Linked DNA regions of Alligator mississippiensis. The protein of the gene in region 2 interacts with the protein of the main gene of each other region in a biochemical or structural test. Links are inferred from orthologs where the notes say so. Each region holds a gene or a part of one and is shown on either strand. Other genes may lie near its edges.

Evidence for each region. The genes of interacting proteins can lie anywhere in the genome.
Region 1: the proteins of TBP (region 2) and DRAP1 are reported together in a solved structure, tested with the Homo sapiens proteins (2 studies listed by BioGRID, with this or other methods). The link is inferred for Alligator mississippiensis from reciprocal best matches to the Homo sapiens genes TBP and DRAP1.

What each region holds. Positions count from the first base shown.
Region 1 is NC_081838.1:4,274,684-4,281,734, forward strand, and holds the start of DRAP1 (dr1-associated corepressor), read left to right. Parts: upstream 1-4,046; 5' UTR 4,047-4,114; coding exon 4,115-4,156; intron 4,157-5,195; coding exon 5,196-5,268; intron 5,269-5,436; coding exon 5,437-5,530; intron 5,531-6,281; coding exon 6,282-6,407; intron 6,408-6,996; coding exon 6,997-7,051. Other genes in the region: C15H11orf68 (UPF0696 protein C11orf68 homolog), read right to left, coding at 1,301-2,026. UniProt on the Homo sapiens protein: The association of the DR1/DRAP1 heterodimer with TBP results in a functional repression of both activated and basal transcription of class II genes.
Region 2 is NC_081824.1:147,741,249-147,749,188, forward strand, and holds the start of TBP (TATA-box-binding protein), read left to right. Parts: upstream 1-4,934; 5' UTR 4,935-5,161; intron 5,162-6,814; 5' UTR 6,815-7,000; coding exon 7,001-7,054; intron 7,055-7,940. Other genes in the region: PSMB1 (proteasome subunit beta type-1), read right to left, coding at 464-593, 1,243-1,324, 2,631-2,738, 4,618-4,727. UniProt on the Homo sapiens protein: The TFIID basal transcription factor complex plays a major role in the initiation of RNA polymerase II (Pol II)-dependent transcription.

The DNA of each region.
Region 1 (7,051 bases), on a different chromosome or scaffold from region 2:
GACCCACCGTACCAGGGGTGGGGGGGACAGATTTAAAGCTTATTTTTATGCCGCTAATAAACCCGAGTCAAATGCGGATCCTGGGCTGGCGTCTCCCTGCTGCGCCCAGACTGGGGATGACCCCGGGGGGAGGGGGCTGTCTCTGCTTAGTGGGACCAGTCTGGGGCAGGGGATTTCAAGGGCCTGTGGCCGAGATGGGACGGGGGTGAGGGGGTAGAGGCAGGACGCCTGGGTTCTCTCCCGGGCCTGGGAGGGGAGTGGATGCTGGGGTAGGGCAAGAGCAGGGGAGGCTGGGAGCCAGGACACGGGTCTGGAAGGAGGTGGAGGGGAGACTCAGATCCCTTCCTCCTCGGGCTGCCATGACCCGGCAGAGGCAGGCTTGGAGACATGTAGGTGCCTAAATCCCTTGGGCCCTAGTCTGGGATGTCCCCTCTAGTACCCCAGAGCCAGGGGTCTGCAAAAGCCTTGGGTGGGGGGGGGGAAGAGGAGGAGCCAGAGGGAGTCAAGAGCTGCTGATTGGCTGGAAAGGAGTCATTTTTATTGAGCTTTGTGACCTCTTGGAGCTTTAAAGGGCCACTGCACCAGCCTCACTGCAGGGCTCTGCATGAAAGGGGCAGCACCTTGAGAAAGAGCCCCTGCTAGGGGGCAAAGAGCTGTGGCACTTTAAAAACAGTGGGTGGGGTGAAGTGGGGGGCAGAGCCCCTCCAGTACAGGGCCATGAGAGAGTTAAGCTGCCAGAGCTCCTGGACCACACTTCCCAGCAGGCCCTGAGCCAGGGAAGTAGTGCATGCTGGGACTTGTAGTCTCCACCCCAGCCCCAGCCCAGCCTGTGCATGGGGGCATGCCTACTAGCCCCTCCTCACCTAAGGAAGCAGTGTAATACTGGGATACAGGACCTCAGCCGCACAGCTCCAATTCAGGGGAATCAGACCCCACAGGAGCAATGCATGGTGGGACACACTGCTCCAGTCCAGGCAGGGCCAGAAACCCCCCCCCCCCCCAAGCAGTGCATGCTGTGACATGTAGCCTCACTCCCACTTCAGGTGAGGGGGGCAGACAATCTAAGGGAGGGGCAAGACCCTACACCCCACACAGAAGCAGTGCATGCTGGGATAAATAACCTCAGCCCCACAGCTCCAGTCCAGGGAGGCAGATAGTCCAAGATAGGCAGAAGGGGACAAGACCCCCACCCCCTCCACAGGAGCAGTGCATGCTGGGACACAGAGCCTCACCCCATTACTCCAGTCCAGGGACAGGGGGGTGAACAGTCAAAGGGGGGGGCCGGGCCCCCCCACAATGCTTAAGTGACCTCGGCATTGGTAACCTTGTTGAGGACGCGGGAGCGCCGGGGCACGCACTCCAGGTCGAAGCGGCTCTCGTAGATGGTAGGGCAGAGGCGCCAGCGGTTGTCGCGGTAGATGCCCAGGTAGGTGTAGACATCGGGCTTGTAGGCCAGCGGGCACTTGACGCCAGCAGCCCGGATGGCAGCGTCGGCAGCTAGCACATGCTCCTCATCTGTGAAGTCATCCGTGTAGACACACACCACGTGGCGCCGTTCACCATCAGGGTGGCAGGGGCTCACCTTGGCCACAGTGAAGCGCCCGTCCAGCACGGCCCGGGCCACACCAGCCCAGGCGTGGTCCACCTTGAAGCCTGTGTCCAGGTGGATGAGCCACTTGCCCGTGAGCACGCCGTGGTTGAGGGCCAGCTCCCGCACTGTGGTGTGGGTCACGGAGCGGCCGCTCAGCTGCAGCCGCTCCCACGCCTCCTGCAAGCCCACCACGTCACCCGCCTCAGGACTGTAGCCGGGACCATACACGGCAATCCAGCCCACGGGCCGTGGGCCATAGCGGGCCACACGGGAGGGCGGGTAGGTGGCCAGCCATGCCTCAAACTCGGCCCGAGGGGTGCGCCGGGCATCAAACACCACCCACGGGTCCATGTCGGCTGCCATTGACTCGGCCGCCAGCTGCTCAGCTGAGAAGGGGCCATCCCGGCCCCCGTCGCCCTCATCCTGGTCTGACATAGCTGCTGGGTCCTGGAGCAGGCACCTGCCAATGCGGGGGAAGGTAGGGGGGAGGTATGGGAAAAGGTCAGGTGTCACAGCTGCCTTATGGGAAGGCTGGGAGGCAGGTGGGCTAATTAGTTTGGAGTGACAAGCTTGTTAGGGTGAGGAGCGGGCAAGGTAATTAGCTCTGAGAAAGGGGCTCTAGCTTTGCACTGGTCAGGCTAATTAGCTTAGGTAAGAGGCAGGCAGACTAATTAATTCTGAGGAAGAGGCTCCCTTGTTTGGCAGGGGCCAAACTAATTACCTTAAGCAGGGGGCAGGCAGGCCAATTAGTTTCAATTAGGGAGGGCAAGCTAATTCAGGTATGGTGCAGGTGGGCTAACTGGCAGGTTGAAAGGCTCATCAGCTTCACATAGGACAGGCAGGCTAATTACCTGGTCAAAGGGGTTTATTTTCAGTAATTGCCCTAGGTTTGGGGCTAATTCACTCCATCAAGGGGCTCTTCAACTTTGCACAGGAGCAGCTAATCAGCACAGGCGGGTGGGCTAAGCTGACTGAAGAGCCTGACTGTTTTGGGAGCTACCGTTAGGGGAAGGCTGCTTAATTAGCCCGAGGATAGTACAAGCGGGCAGGCTAAACAGCTCCAATTGGAGGGGGATGGTTAATTAATTTAGGGTGCAGGCAGCTAATCAGTTGCGATTGGGAAGGGGGCTGGTTAATTAACTTACAGCACAGGGCTAGCTCCTCGGTTGTACGTTTAGCGTTGGTCGGGGGAATCCACAAGCCAATTAACCGAGCTATTAATTGGCTAGCAGCAGGGCTGTCCCTAGGGGGAGGTGAACAGAGGCAACTGCCCTGGGCCCCATGATTTCGGGGCCCCCATGGAGCAGCAGCTCTGCGTCCAGCCGCTCGCTGCACCCCACCAGCCTCTTTGGGTCCGGGGCCCACGGGAGCGAAGCAGGGGCAGGGCCCCGCACCCTGCTCGGGTCATCTCTGCCCGGCAGCTCTCTGCCCGGCAAGTAGCCCCAGAGAGCTGGGCTGGGCTGGGGCTCAGGGAGCGGGAAGGTGAGGGCTCTTTTACCCCCTGCCCTGCGGAGAAGCCCTCCCACCCCCAACGGCTTCTGATTCTGCCCCCCCACCCGGGGCAATCAACCCGCTCCCCCCAGCTGCCTCCACCCCAGGGCACTCAGCCGTGGAGGGACCCGTTCTGCCCCTGCCACGGGGGCCGCCTTACCTGCGGCAGAAGAAGGGAGCCGGGGCAGGGGGCTGCTGCCTGGTGCTGCCCTGGGGGAGAGAGGAGGCAGGTTGAGGCCGCCCAGTACGGGGCCCTGCCCAGCACCAGGTGCCCCCGACGTGCCCCCCAGCCCCATGATCAGCCGGCCCCGCGCCCCCAGCCCCCCCCCCCATAGGAGCCCCCCCAGCCCCATGTGCCAGGCCCCCTCCCCCAGTCGCTGCCCCGCCCCCGTGCCAGGCCCCCCCAGCCCCTCCCCTAATACGAGCCCCCGCCCTCACCTGGCCCCTCTCAGCGGCCCGCGGCCGCCGCCATCTTGAGGGAGGGGGCGGGGCCGAGCCCGGGGGGAGGCAACGGGGGGGGTCGGACGGGGGAAACCGGAAATGGCAGAAGCCGACACGGAGGTGCACGGAGGGTGAAGCAGGAAGTTACGTCTGGACAGAGGCGGAAAGGAGCTGCTCGGGAGGGGAGGACTTCCGGGAGAGGAGGGGGAGGGGAGGGGCTGCAATGAAAGGGCGGGGCCTCCGGGGGCGGGGCCCGGCTCGAAGGTTGCGGGAGGTACCTGGACAGCGCGGGGCGGAGTCAGCGAGACTAGGGGCGGGGCCCTCCCTGGCGGCTGGGGGAGCCCGGTGTGGGGGTAGGGGCGGGGCGTCCCCAGGCCGGGTGCGGGGCGAGCCGGGAAGGCAGTGTTGGGACAGGGCGGGCGCGGGGCAGGGGGCGGGGCCAGGCTGGGATGGGCGGTGCTAGGGCGCGGGGCAGGGGGCGGGGCCAGGCTGGGCGGGCGGCGCTAGGACCGGGCGGGCGCGGGGTAGGGGGCGGGGCCAGGCCGGCGGGCGGCGCTAGGACCGGGCGGGCGCGGGGCGCAGCGGGCCGCGATGCCGAGCAAGAAGAAGAAATACAACGCGCGGTTCCCGCCGGTGAGCCTGGCCCGGCGCCTGGGGCCCTTCCCCATCCTGGCGGGTGGGGGCTGCAGCCCGGACGGCGGGGCCCCTCGGGCGCCGGGTGGTCGCGCCTGGGCCCCTCCCTGGGCCCCCCCCCGGACGCCTCGGTTCCTTTCCGGGTCGTCCCCCCCCCCCGGCCACCCTGACCCCAACCGCCTGTGACCCCTGACCCCGCCCTAGCCGGCCCCGCCCCGCCCCGCCCATCCCCCGGAGCCTGCGCCCCTCTGGCCCCCTTCCCTGTGACCCCGACCTTCCGCCCTCGCCCCCCTCGCCCCAGGGCCTGTGACCTCGGACCTCGCAGCCTCCCCCGGGCCCTTCCCTCCTCCGGGGCTGGCCCCGGGGTATCTGTGGGGCCGGGCGGGTACGCGGCCCCCTGGGCTCCTTTGAAGACGAGGGCCTGGCCCGCATGCCTGGGCCCCTTCCCGGCACCCAGCTGCCTGGGGCCCTTTCTGGGGCCAGGGCCTGGCGCCCGGGTCCCTTCCCGACACTGGGGGTTTGGCAGCCGGACACCCCGGTTCCTCGTGGAGGCTCGGGCCCGGCAGCCTGGACTCCTTCCTAGGGCCGGGTCCAGCGCCCGACGCCTGGGTTGTCTGGGGCTCTGGGGGGGGGCTGGGGGGAGAGGGGTGGGAGCCGGGACACCTGGGTTGTCTCCGGCTGTGGGAGGGGGCAGAGGAGGCATGGGGGATTGCAGCTGAGTCTGGGGTGGGGGCACGGGGAGAGGAGGTCCGTGGGGGGCGTAGCGTAGAGGCATCTGGGAGCCCCCCGGTGCTGGGGGGGCGTGGGGCCCAGTGGATCAGAGCAGGGGAGTCTAGGAGCCCGGCTGCCTGGGTTTGATCCCCAGCTCGGCCATGCGAAAAGGTGGAGAGCTGGGATGCCGGGCACGTGGATGTCTGGGACCTCTGTCGGCTCTGGGAGGGGAGTGGGAGGAGGGGAGAAATAGCCCTGATCTGGGCCTGATCCTGGGGGGCTCTAGCTCAGGCTGCCCCCCCAGCTCTTGACCTGTTCCCACCCCCAGGCGCGGATCAAGAAGATCATGCAGACGGACGAGGAGATCGGGAAGGTGGCGGCTGCTGTCCCCGTCATCATCTGTATCCTTGGCAACGCCTGGACGCCTGCCTGGGTTCTCTCAGGGTCTGGGAGGGGAGCGGGGGCTGAGGGACCGGGCGGATGCCTGGCTTCTCTTGGACTCGGGGAGGGCAGTAGGGGCTGGAGCCCGGACACCTGGGGTCTCTCCCTTAACCCCTGCCTTGCCACAGCCCGGGCACTGGAGCTGTTCCTGGAGTCGCTGCTCAGGAAGGCCTGTCAAGTGACGCAGTCCAGGAACGCCAAGACCATGACCACGTCCCACCTGTGAGTGCCCCGGGTCCCGTCCCCTGGGCACCTGGGTGATCTGCCCGCTCCAGGAGGGGACTGGGGTCTAGGGGATTAGAACAAGGCGTGGGAGGGATCTGGGCTCTCTCCCTGCTCTGGAAGGGGAGTGGGCTGGGGGTGAAAGCGGGGGGGCTGGGAGCCCGCATCCCTGGGTTTCCTCCAGCTCGGGGAGGGGTGGGTTCCAGGGCAACGTTTCTCAATCTGGGGGTTACGACCCAGAAGTGGGTCGCAAGAACATACGAAAGAACAAACTTGAAAGTGAATTCTCCTTTAATGGAGATAAATGTGGGCACCGCGGCTCTTCCCTTGCAGGCGGGCAGAGCTCCAGCCTGCAAGGGGCTACTTGGGCCCTCTGCCCCACGCACTGGGGGCCGGGGCGTGGGGGAGCGGGTTGGGGCTGGCCGCTGAAGTGTAGAAATGGGTCCTGGTACAAAAAAGGCTGAGAATGGCTGTGCTGAGGGATTAGAGCAAGGGGCGGGAGGGGTCTGGGAGCTCTCCCCCTGCCTCACCGTGTCCCCTCTGGACAGTCCCAACCTGGCTTCTGTGCCTCAGTTTCCCCACTTTCAATCAACATGGGCTGGAGGGGCCTGGCAGGGGCTGTGAATCTCCCTGGCAGGGGGAAGTATCCTGCTGGGGGCTGTGGGAGACCTTGGGGATGTGATGGGTTGGGGGGAGGGGTGGGTTGTGGCTTGGCCCTGCCCCCTCTGACCCCCTGCCCCTCCCCCTGCAGGAAGCAGTGCATCGAGCTGGAGCAGCAGTTTGACTTCCTCAAGGACCTGGTGGCCTCCGTGCCCGACATGCAGGGGGACGCTGAGGACAACCACATGGAGGGCGAGCGGGTCTCCCGCAGGTGGGGGTCAGTGCAGGGCAGGGCCAGCAGGGAGTGCTGGGTAGTGAGGGGGTGGAGCCAGGTCTGGGGGGGCAGGGCTAGTGGGAGAGGCTGGGCTGCAGGGGTGGAGCCAGCTCTGGAGGGGCAGGGCCAGAAGGGGGTGCTGGGTGTAAGGGGTGGAGCTAGTGGGGGTGGAGCCAATGAGGAGGGGGTGCTTTAGCTCCACCAGCCCTTGTTGCCCCTGGAAAGCTAAGCAGGGTTGAAGAGGGTCTGTGTGTGGATGGGAGACCACCACTGCCCCTGCTCGGGGACACTTTCCCCATCTAGCACCTGACACCCCTTGGAAGCTAAGCAGGATCAGCTGGGATCACTTTGTGGATGGGAGACTGGGTGCCAATGCCCTGGCAGTAGGGGGTGCTGCAGGGGGGCTCTCTCCTTTTAGGCCCCAATACCCTGGGTGGGGGGTTCATCTGGGCTACCAGGGGCTCCATTGCCCCAAATTCTGAGACCTGCCATGCTGCACCCCAGAGGTGGCTGCAATTTGACTGCACCTACTGGGATTCAACCTGTGGGGGGGGCTCGGCAAGGGACTCTGATGCCTGGTGGGTCTATGCAGGGGCCGGAAGCCGGGCAGCGGGAGGAAGAACGGCGGGACAGGGGCCAAGGGCAAG
Region 2 (7,940 bases):
CCTGAAAGACAAGCAGTATATTTCATTCCTACTTAAAATATTAAGCATGAAAAGACAGAAAGGTAGAACCTGTTTTATCAAAGTTATTGTTTCACATGATATAAAACTCTGCTTATGCAGATGATCTCTAACAGCTCTCAGTTTCTTTGAGTTAATACATAATCAAACTGTTCAGAGAAAAACAATGATATATCAAATGCCTTGTGAAAGCATAGAAACAGGTAAACTGATGGACAGTCATGTTCAGTTTCCAAAGGGACTAATACATTAAGATAGCTTTTTATATACTATTCTGAGATCCTCAAATATTGTAAGTGAAGAGCAACATACTCTATGTAAGTACAGAAGTACCACAACTGTCTCTATGCTTCTCTACCAGTCTGCTTCAGTCCTGAAACAACTAGTTTTCAGCTCCAGAAATGAGTCCCTCTCCCTTCCCCGCACACCATAACTTAAGTCTTACCTTCTTCGTCAAGTCCACCGATTATGTTATAAACATAGTAAGGAAAGAAGCGTCGAGAATACAGGATTGTTGACAACATTGCTGCAATAGCCCCAGTAGTCATCGTCTTGTTGTTGGAATGCTTGTACATCTACAATCAAATGCAAAACACAAGCAGGTTAAATACTAAAACAATAGTGTATATAGAGTGAATTCTAAAGATTATTTTTACAGAAAGAAATTTTCATACTGTGCTTTATTAAAAAGGAAGCAGATGGACAAAGCAGAAGTTGCGACTGGAATGCATACGATTGCTAAAAATAATCAGTCTAAAAATGAGTTTGTCAAAATTTAAATGTGGTGCATTTCTTTTCTTGCCTAATGTATCAGAAGTTCAGACACCAAATTTGTGTCCTACAAGTTTTGAAAGAACAGATATCATTACCTGGTTATAGTACTGTTAGGGTATTAAAACTAGCTTCAAGATTTGCATATTCAATATTTTTAATTTTACTCAGTTAAAATAGGAAGCATTGCATTACACTGGACACAACCAATGTCAGGAGAACACCCGAATCAAAACTATGACCCTTTTTAATTCACTAGTTACATTTTAAGTTCTTCATTTGGTCACATTATTGCTCTATTACACTTGACTAAGAGTAAGGTTCTTACAATTTTTTTGTTTGTTTTTTTTGTTTGGTTGGGTTTTTTTGGGGTTTTTTTGTTCTTTGTTTTTTGGGTTTTTTGGGTTTTTTTTTGTTTTTTTACATACAAAACATTATTAATATTGTAACTACCTTTAATCTTGCTTCAATAATTTTCGTAAGCGTAAGGCAGTCACCATGAAAACCACTGCATCCAATGACTGTTTGGTCTGTTCTGTAAAATGCAAAGTTTGGAAAATGTTTTAGCGTGCCCCATGACTACAAACTATCATATCACCACTAGCATAAAATCATTTGAAAAACATGGAATATTTGTATACCTAGCTTCCTTTAATGCATTGCATCAGCCTGTTCAGTAGGAATCTGCAGACCCCCAAAATGGAAGCCACTCAGATGAGTGGTTAAAAGTGAAAAATTGTAAAATAGGAGAAAAAAATTCTAATCCCACTTCTGCCAGGTAATTTGATGGGTATGCGATTTAACCAATTTGCCTTACATCCAGATTTACAGATTTTACCAGTGCTTTGAGGTGGAATAGAAAAAAAACTATACAGATACAGGTTTTTAATATTAAACCATTATTAAAAATTAGAGGGAGACAGATACTTCAAACCTAAAAGCATTTACAAACTCAACTATGAAATATACCATTCATAGGATGTCATCTAGACAGCTGTAGAGCACAATTAACTTCAACAATCTAAAGATGAAAATATTGTCTTAATTCATGTTTGTCAGTATTACCAAAGCTACTTATTTCAATACAAGAGATGGTGCCAAGAAAACCTATCTTGATACTACGAGGAAGCTACTGATATGCTAAGGAGCTAGCCAGGAGAAACCTGAACCCCTGAGAACTGTGCCAATGATAGCAGAGGGCTTGCCTCTGTAGCTAGTGGCAGCCTAGAGTGGGAGTGAGGCATTTAAATGCAAGTAACAATAAACTTGCTGAAACCAAGGGGACACTATCCAGCTGCTTTGAAGGAAGCATATGAAGAATGTGAAACAAGTTTGATAATGGAATTGCTGACAGGTTCCCTGATGGTCTCCAGTGAAGTAGACAGCTCTGAAGTGCCAGATGGTCTACTGAAGCAACAGTGAAATAGTGACATACCTGGGGTATAGCCAGCAGTGGTAGCACTTGTGTCCCAACTACCAGGCATCCAGAAGAAACAAAGCCACTTGCTGCAGAGCTAAGCACTGCTACAATTAACTGAATCTTCTCATTGGTATTCATCCAAAAAATAGTCTGTCTACTTAGCTTGTATTTTTAAAATCAAGTCTAATTTGGTATTGAAAAACATCCTTTGTCAGTGAAATTCAAGTATTAGAGTCAAACTAAGAAATATGATCTCAATTATGGCATTACAAGAGAGTACAAATGCAGCCAGATTGCTTTCTTACTGAAACGTCCTTTTGCAAATGAAAATGCTAGTCATTGACCCTCTACAGGTTACTAAGTTAATCAGTGGAACAGATCTTATAAGCAAGTTTTTACTTTGCCCAAGATTAAAACTTACAGTTTGTAGCATTTGGGACTGTCCCGGCTATGAATTGCATAACCTTCACTCAGTCGTGTGTCTGAGGCAACGACAGAAAAGTCTTCTCCAGCAATTGCCAACACGGTCCTTTAAAAAAAAAAAAAAAAAAAAAGTAAATCAATATAGAATTACAATTTCTAACATAAACATTCACTCAACAGAGAGGAAAAGGCACACCAAATGAGTGGTTCTCAGTCTGGTTTGAAAAGATTTGTCAGTGATGGAGCAGCTTTCATTCTACAGGAAGTTCTATTTCTTCCTACATGGCATAAGATTTGTTTTCTTTTTTCATTTTTTAAGAAATGGAACAAAAAGCGCACTGTTGCAGCTCATTTACATCTACATGCTATGTGGGATGTGTGTGTAAATTCAGTTATAATTAAGTTTACAGAAATCAGAGGAATTCAGCAGACTAGCAAGGTGACAGAAGCTTTTGGTGAGCACTGTAACCAGCCTAAAAACTGGCAGTAATTCAACCCTAATAATAGAAAGCCTTACGAATGGCAAGATGAAACAGCCCACAGATACGAGGCAAATCTGTAATTAAGGAGCAATGCTCTCACATTCCCCCCCCCATATTCTTTTCAAATAGCCAACTGTCATAGCTGCTGCATGTGAACTGTGGGCTTATGAACTAGGAAAGCTGCTTGGCACCATCTGCCTTAAAATGCAGTCCAAACTATGAAAATGCTTCTGGACCAGTCAATTACTGGTGCATCAGGCTAAGAACGTAAAGTGCCATGCTGGGTTGGACCAATGGTCCATCTAGCTCAGTACAGCCCCACGTTCTCTGCTCAGTGCCCTCCCTTCAGAAGTCTTGTTATAAACCTGTAACCATCAGTCCTGCCCATTTTCTTTTGAGGTGTCCTGGGTAATCAGCTGCCGTGCCTCTAGTGAACAAGGGAGGCTTATAGTTTTTGCGATGGGCCTAGGCCAACGTTTCCCTTGGCATAGCAAATAGACCTGTCTTCAACAGTGTCAGAAGTGGAAACTAAAGGGGGAGCATCAAACCAGACCTAGTGATCAATCCCCTGTTCATCACCCTCCTTAGCATCTGCCACTCTTGGTTTAGAGACACCAGAGAAAACATCTACCATACCATTCAAAAGCCATTAACTGATCTATCCTCCATGAATGCACCCAGGCCCCTTTTTTGAAAGTGGCTGTGCTACCAGCTCCTACCACCTCCTGTGGGAAGTCAAGGTTCTGGCCAGGGGAATCTCAGGCTGGTGTGAGGTTGTTTCCTCTCACTCATCTGCTCACATCTCTGGGAAGTTTCAGGGGGAAGCTGCAGCCCAGTCTGTTAAGAGCCATGAGTCCTGGATATGGCACAAAGGGACAGAACTGCTCATAAGAGCTGCTATTTCTTCGGTCAGAGCACGGGTCCACTCTCCCCATCTCCTGTGTCACAGGGCGCCTGCTTCAAGCGCACCTGGTCGCTGCCCCTCTTCCACCTCCTCCAGAACCTCCTGCTGAGGGCCTGGCTACACTGCTCCCTGCACCTTTTCTTTCACAGACTTCCCGCCCGCAGTCCCACCACGTCCCGGGACCTCCTGGCCAAACTAGCCATCTGTAAGACCAGGAAGGAGGCTGTGGTCGGGAGAAGCACAGGCAAGTGCGGGGCCACTTCCCTGGCGCTCTTCCGTTCACATCACCACACTGAGTGTCACTGACCGGCGTCCACAGACTCCCTCGACCCCTTCAAGGGGCAGAGGTGCTAGCCAGTGTGCTCGGTTCGGCGTCCACTTCTGATGCCTTAGTTATTAACCTACGACCTCAAAGATTTTGGGGGTCAGAAGGGACTTCAGTAGATCATCCATCCTAACCCCCCGCCCGGCAAACCCTTCACCTCCCCCCCGCGCCTCTTTTCCAAGCGGGGCGGCGCCTCCGCCGCTGGAGGGGACCCCACGCGGCCGGGGACAGGCAGGGGCGGCCGGGGGAGGGGCAGGCAGCCGGGGCGGCTCACCCGCCGTTGAAGGTGTAGGGGGAGAAGCGGTGGCTCGTGGCAGCGCCGAGGCCGCAGTCCCGCCTGAGCCCGGGCTCCGCATAGCCAGCAGCGAACGCAGACGACAGCATCCTGCAGTGCCTCCGATCCAGGCCGTGCCTGCTGTCTCACGGCAAAATGGCAGCACCGGAAGCGGAAGTCCTCCCAGCCTCGCTCTTGAAGACGCTCTAGGTTCCCCCTCCAACTCGTCTGCTCCCAAGGTGGGGAACCACCCCCCTCCACAGCTATAGGGCGGCGTGCGGCGCATGCGCTGAGCTGGCAGGACCTTTTTCCCAAGCATGTCACCCCGGGGGCGGTGTTCCCTAGCTCCGGGAGGAGCCGTGTAGTAGGCTGCTTTGCCCTCTCTCAAGATGGCCGCCGAGCGGGATTCGAGGGGAGGGGGAAATAAAGGCTGCTACGGGCGGAACTGACGCATTTTGATCGCGCGGCGGTGTAGGCTGGGGTTACCATCGGTGCTGCAGCCGACGCTGGGTCCGGGCAGCGGGCGGAGGGCCTAGAGCGGAAGGTACCGGCCTCGCTTCTATTCCCCCTTCGCGCGCGGTGGGGGGCGGAGCCTGCTGATGTCGGGCCCGCGCGGCCCTTCCCCGCCCGCCTGCGGCGCGAGCGCTGGTTCCAAGCGGCCGTTGGCGTCTCCCCCCGCCGGGCGCTGCAGGGCCCTCACCCCGTCCCCCCGTGGAGCCGCTGGGGGAGCGGGGGGGGGGAGCCCAGGGTAACGGTTCTGCCCCCCCACCCCACGCGGGACCCGCGCCTCACGCATCCACGTGGGCACACTCATGCTTCACTTGTTTATAGATTATTATTAAATAAGCAATTATTTATAAGGAAATATTATTAAATTACAAATAATAATTATAGTACTAGGTGAGCAGGTTTTCTCCAGGCTTCCCTGCTGCCAGAAAAGAAACCTGGGAGTTTTCCCCCTCCCCGGCGAAGCGGTTGCTGTAGAAAGCCATACCTGCTTGCACTATGGTGGCCATCATAGAGGACAGTCTGCTTTTCTGTTCCTCCATCCTCTATTGATATGAAACCTGATGCCATAATGTCCTCTATTTTTCTCTTCAAGAGACCCAATGCCTTTCTCTTCAAGGAACCTGACTTCTCTTTCTTGAAGAGAAAAATAGAGGACATAAAGGCATGGGGTTTCATAGCAGTAGAGGACAGAGGACAACCAGACTGTCCCCTATGATGGCCGCCCTAGCCTGCATGCACCCAGCATCTGGCCTCAGAGAGGAGCGGCCTGGTTGCAGCGCACTGGTGTGCTACCAGCGGGCAGGCAGGGCAGTTCGGCAAACCGCTCCTTTCTCGTGGGAGTCGGCTGTTGCAGACTCTCATCTCTTCTTGTCCTCATTGCTGCACATTTGGGTTTCGTAGACTTGCATTTTTTAATAGGATAACGATAATAATAATTATTACTATTATAGTAGCGTGAGAGTGCACAAACACCAGCAGAGTCTCCCCATGCCTGGAGAAGTGCTTGTGCCCAAAAGCTTGCAAAAAACGATCTTTCCAACTATTGGGTTGGTCTAATAAAAGATCACACAGTAAGTTGTAAGAAGAATTGATAAAATATTAATATTGCAGTGATAATCCAGTATTTTACATTGTTGCTAAAGGAACACATCCTAGCATTGAAATTCACTTGAGAGAATAGTGCATTGCCCAAATAACCCTGTCTGCTAGTTTTTCATAACATTTTTTGTGCATCTTCATGGTGAAATGCCTCAGCGCTTTATGCTGGTTCAGGCTGGGGAAGGAGGTTGTTTCCCTGGTCATTTTTTGGGTAACAGGATTTTGCTCTTAAATGACTTCCAACTGCCTGGAACTCGTGAACGCTTTAAAATTATGGTAAGACTTTAAAGATATCCAGGTTGTAATTATGGTAAGACTTTAAACAATTTTAAGCACATTTTGCTGATATATTTGGAAGTCTTCATAAACAGTGGTTCAGTCCTGAAATCACTTGTGTGTGCAGTCCTGCTGAAACCTACGGGTCTGTTCATGTAAGTAAAGCCACTTGTATGGACAGATTTTTAGGGGAAGGGTTGTTTCTATGGCAGCACAGGTGTGTACAAAGAAATGTGTTTAAAAATGTACTTAAGATGCGGCTGAATACATTTTTAAAGGTGCTGTTACCAAGAGTGTTTTCTATCTTTTTCAGGTTTTGAATTGTGTTTTAGATTTGCAACACGTTTTTCTGGAGCTAATGTTTTTAATAATCATTCAGAAGTGGCTGAAAATCTAGTTGCTGGAATGCTTTAGGGGAAACGACTTCTTTATCGTGTGGAATTATTGTTCTTGAATTACTGGAAATAATTCTGGCCTGACCAAAGAAGTAATTGGAATCATGGATCAGAACAACAGCTTGCCGCCCTATGCCCAAGGACTGGCATCACCTCAGGTAAAAATAAGATATTTAAAAAATTTAAGTGCAGGATAAAAGTCTTTGCAGAAAGGATTTCAGTTTCATGTGTAAACAAACATGAATAACTCCATTAGATGCTGACTATATAAATGCTTACAACTACAACAGCTTAGTGTGGTGATCTGCAGTCCCAGGAATATTTGCTTGATGGAAACTTGTTTGAAATTTTAGGCTAAAAGCAAACTGGACTGTCCCTTAGCCTTTTATAGTCAAAACTTAAATGACAATTGACTTGAATTAACTGTGATTATTCTGAGAGACACTGTTAATTTGAATACTTCACAGTTAGTTAATGTAGCACAATGGTTTTGGCAGTAGTCTGTAAAATCTGGGGTTTGTGTCTGGGGTTTGCTGAGAGAGAAAATGCTCAAATCCAAATCAAAACATTCATTTGTTTTTAGCTTTGGTAGCATTTTTAAGTGTCTCCAGTTTCTGATAAAATATTATTTCAGTGTAGTCAGATATTTGCAAAACAAATCCTTAATATTTGTAAGGAAATGCATCTTATGACCCAAAATCTCACTGGCTTTTGTTTTTTTCTAATTGAAATGTATTCGAACAAGGCATTGTGGTATGCATACACTGACACTGAATAATCCTTTCCTGGTTGGTGGAGAAGAGAAAGCATTATCTCTATTTCAGTGGTTCCCAAACTGACAGATTACATACCACCAATTTAAATTTAAAGTACCACCAGCAAATTTTTGTCATATAAAGTCATTATAATAAATCTGTTAATGCTACCACTGACAGGTTGTCTGCGTACCACTGGTAGTACCCATACCACAGATTGGGAACTGCTGTTGTGAGACTTTTTCTGTGAAGTAAAATACACTTTGAGGGATATTAAGTTCTTATTGTT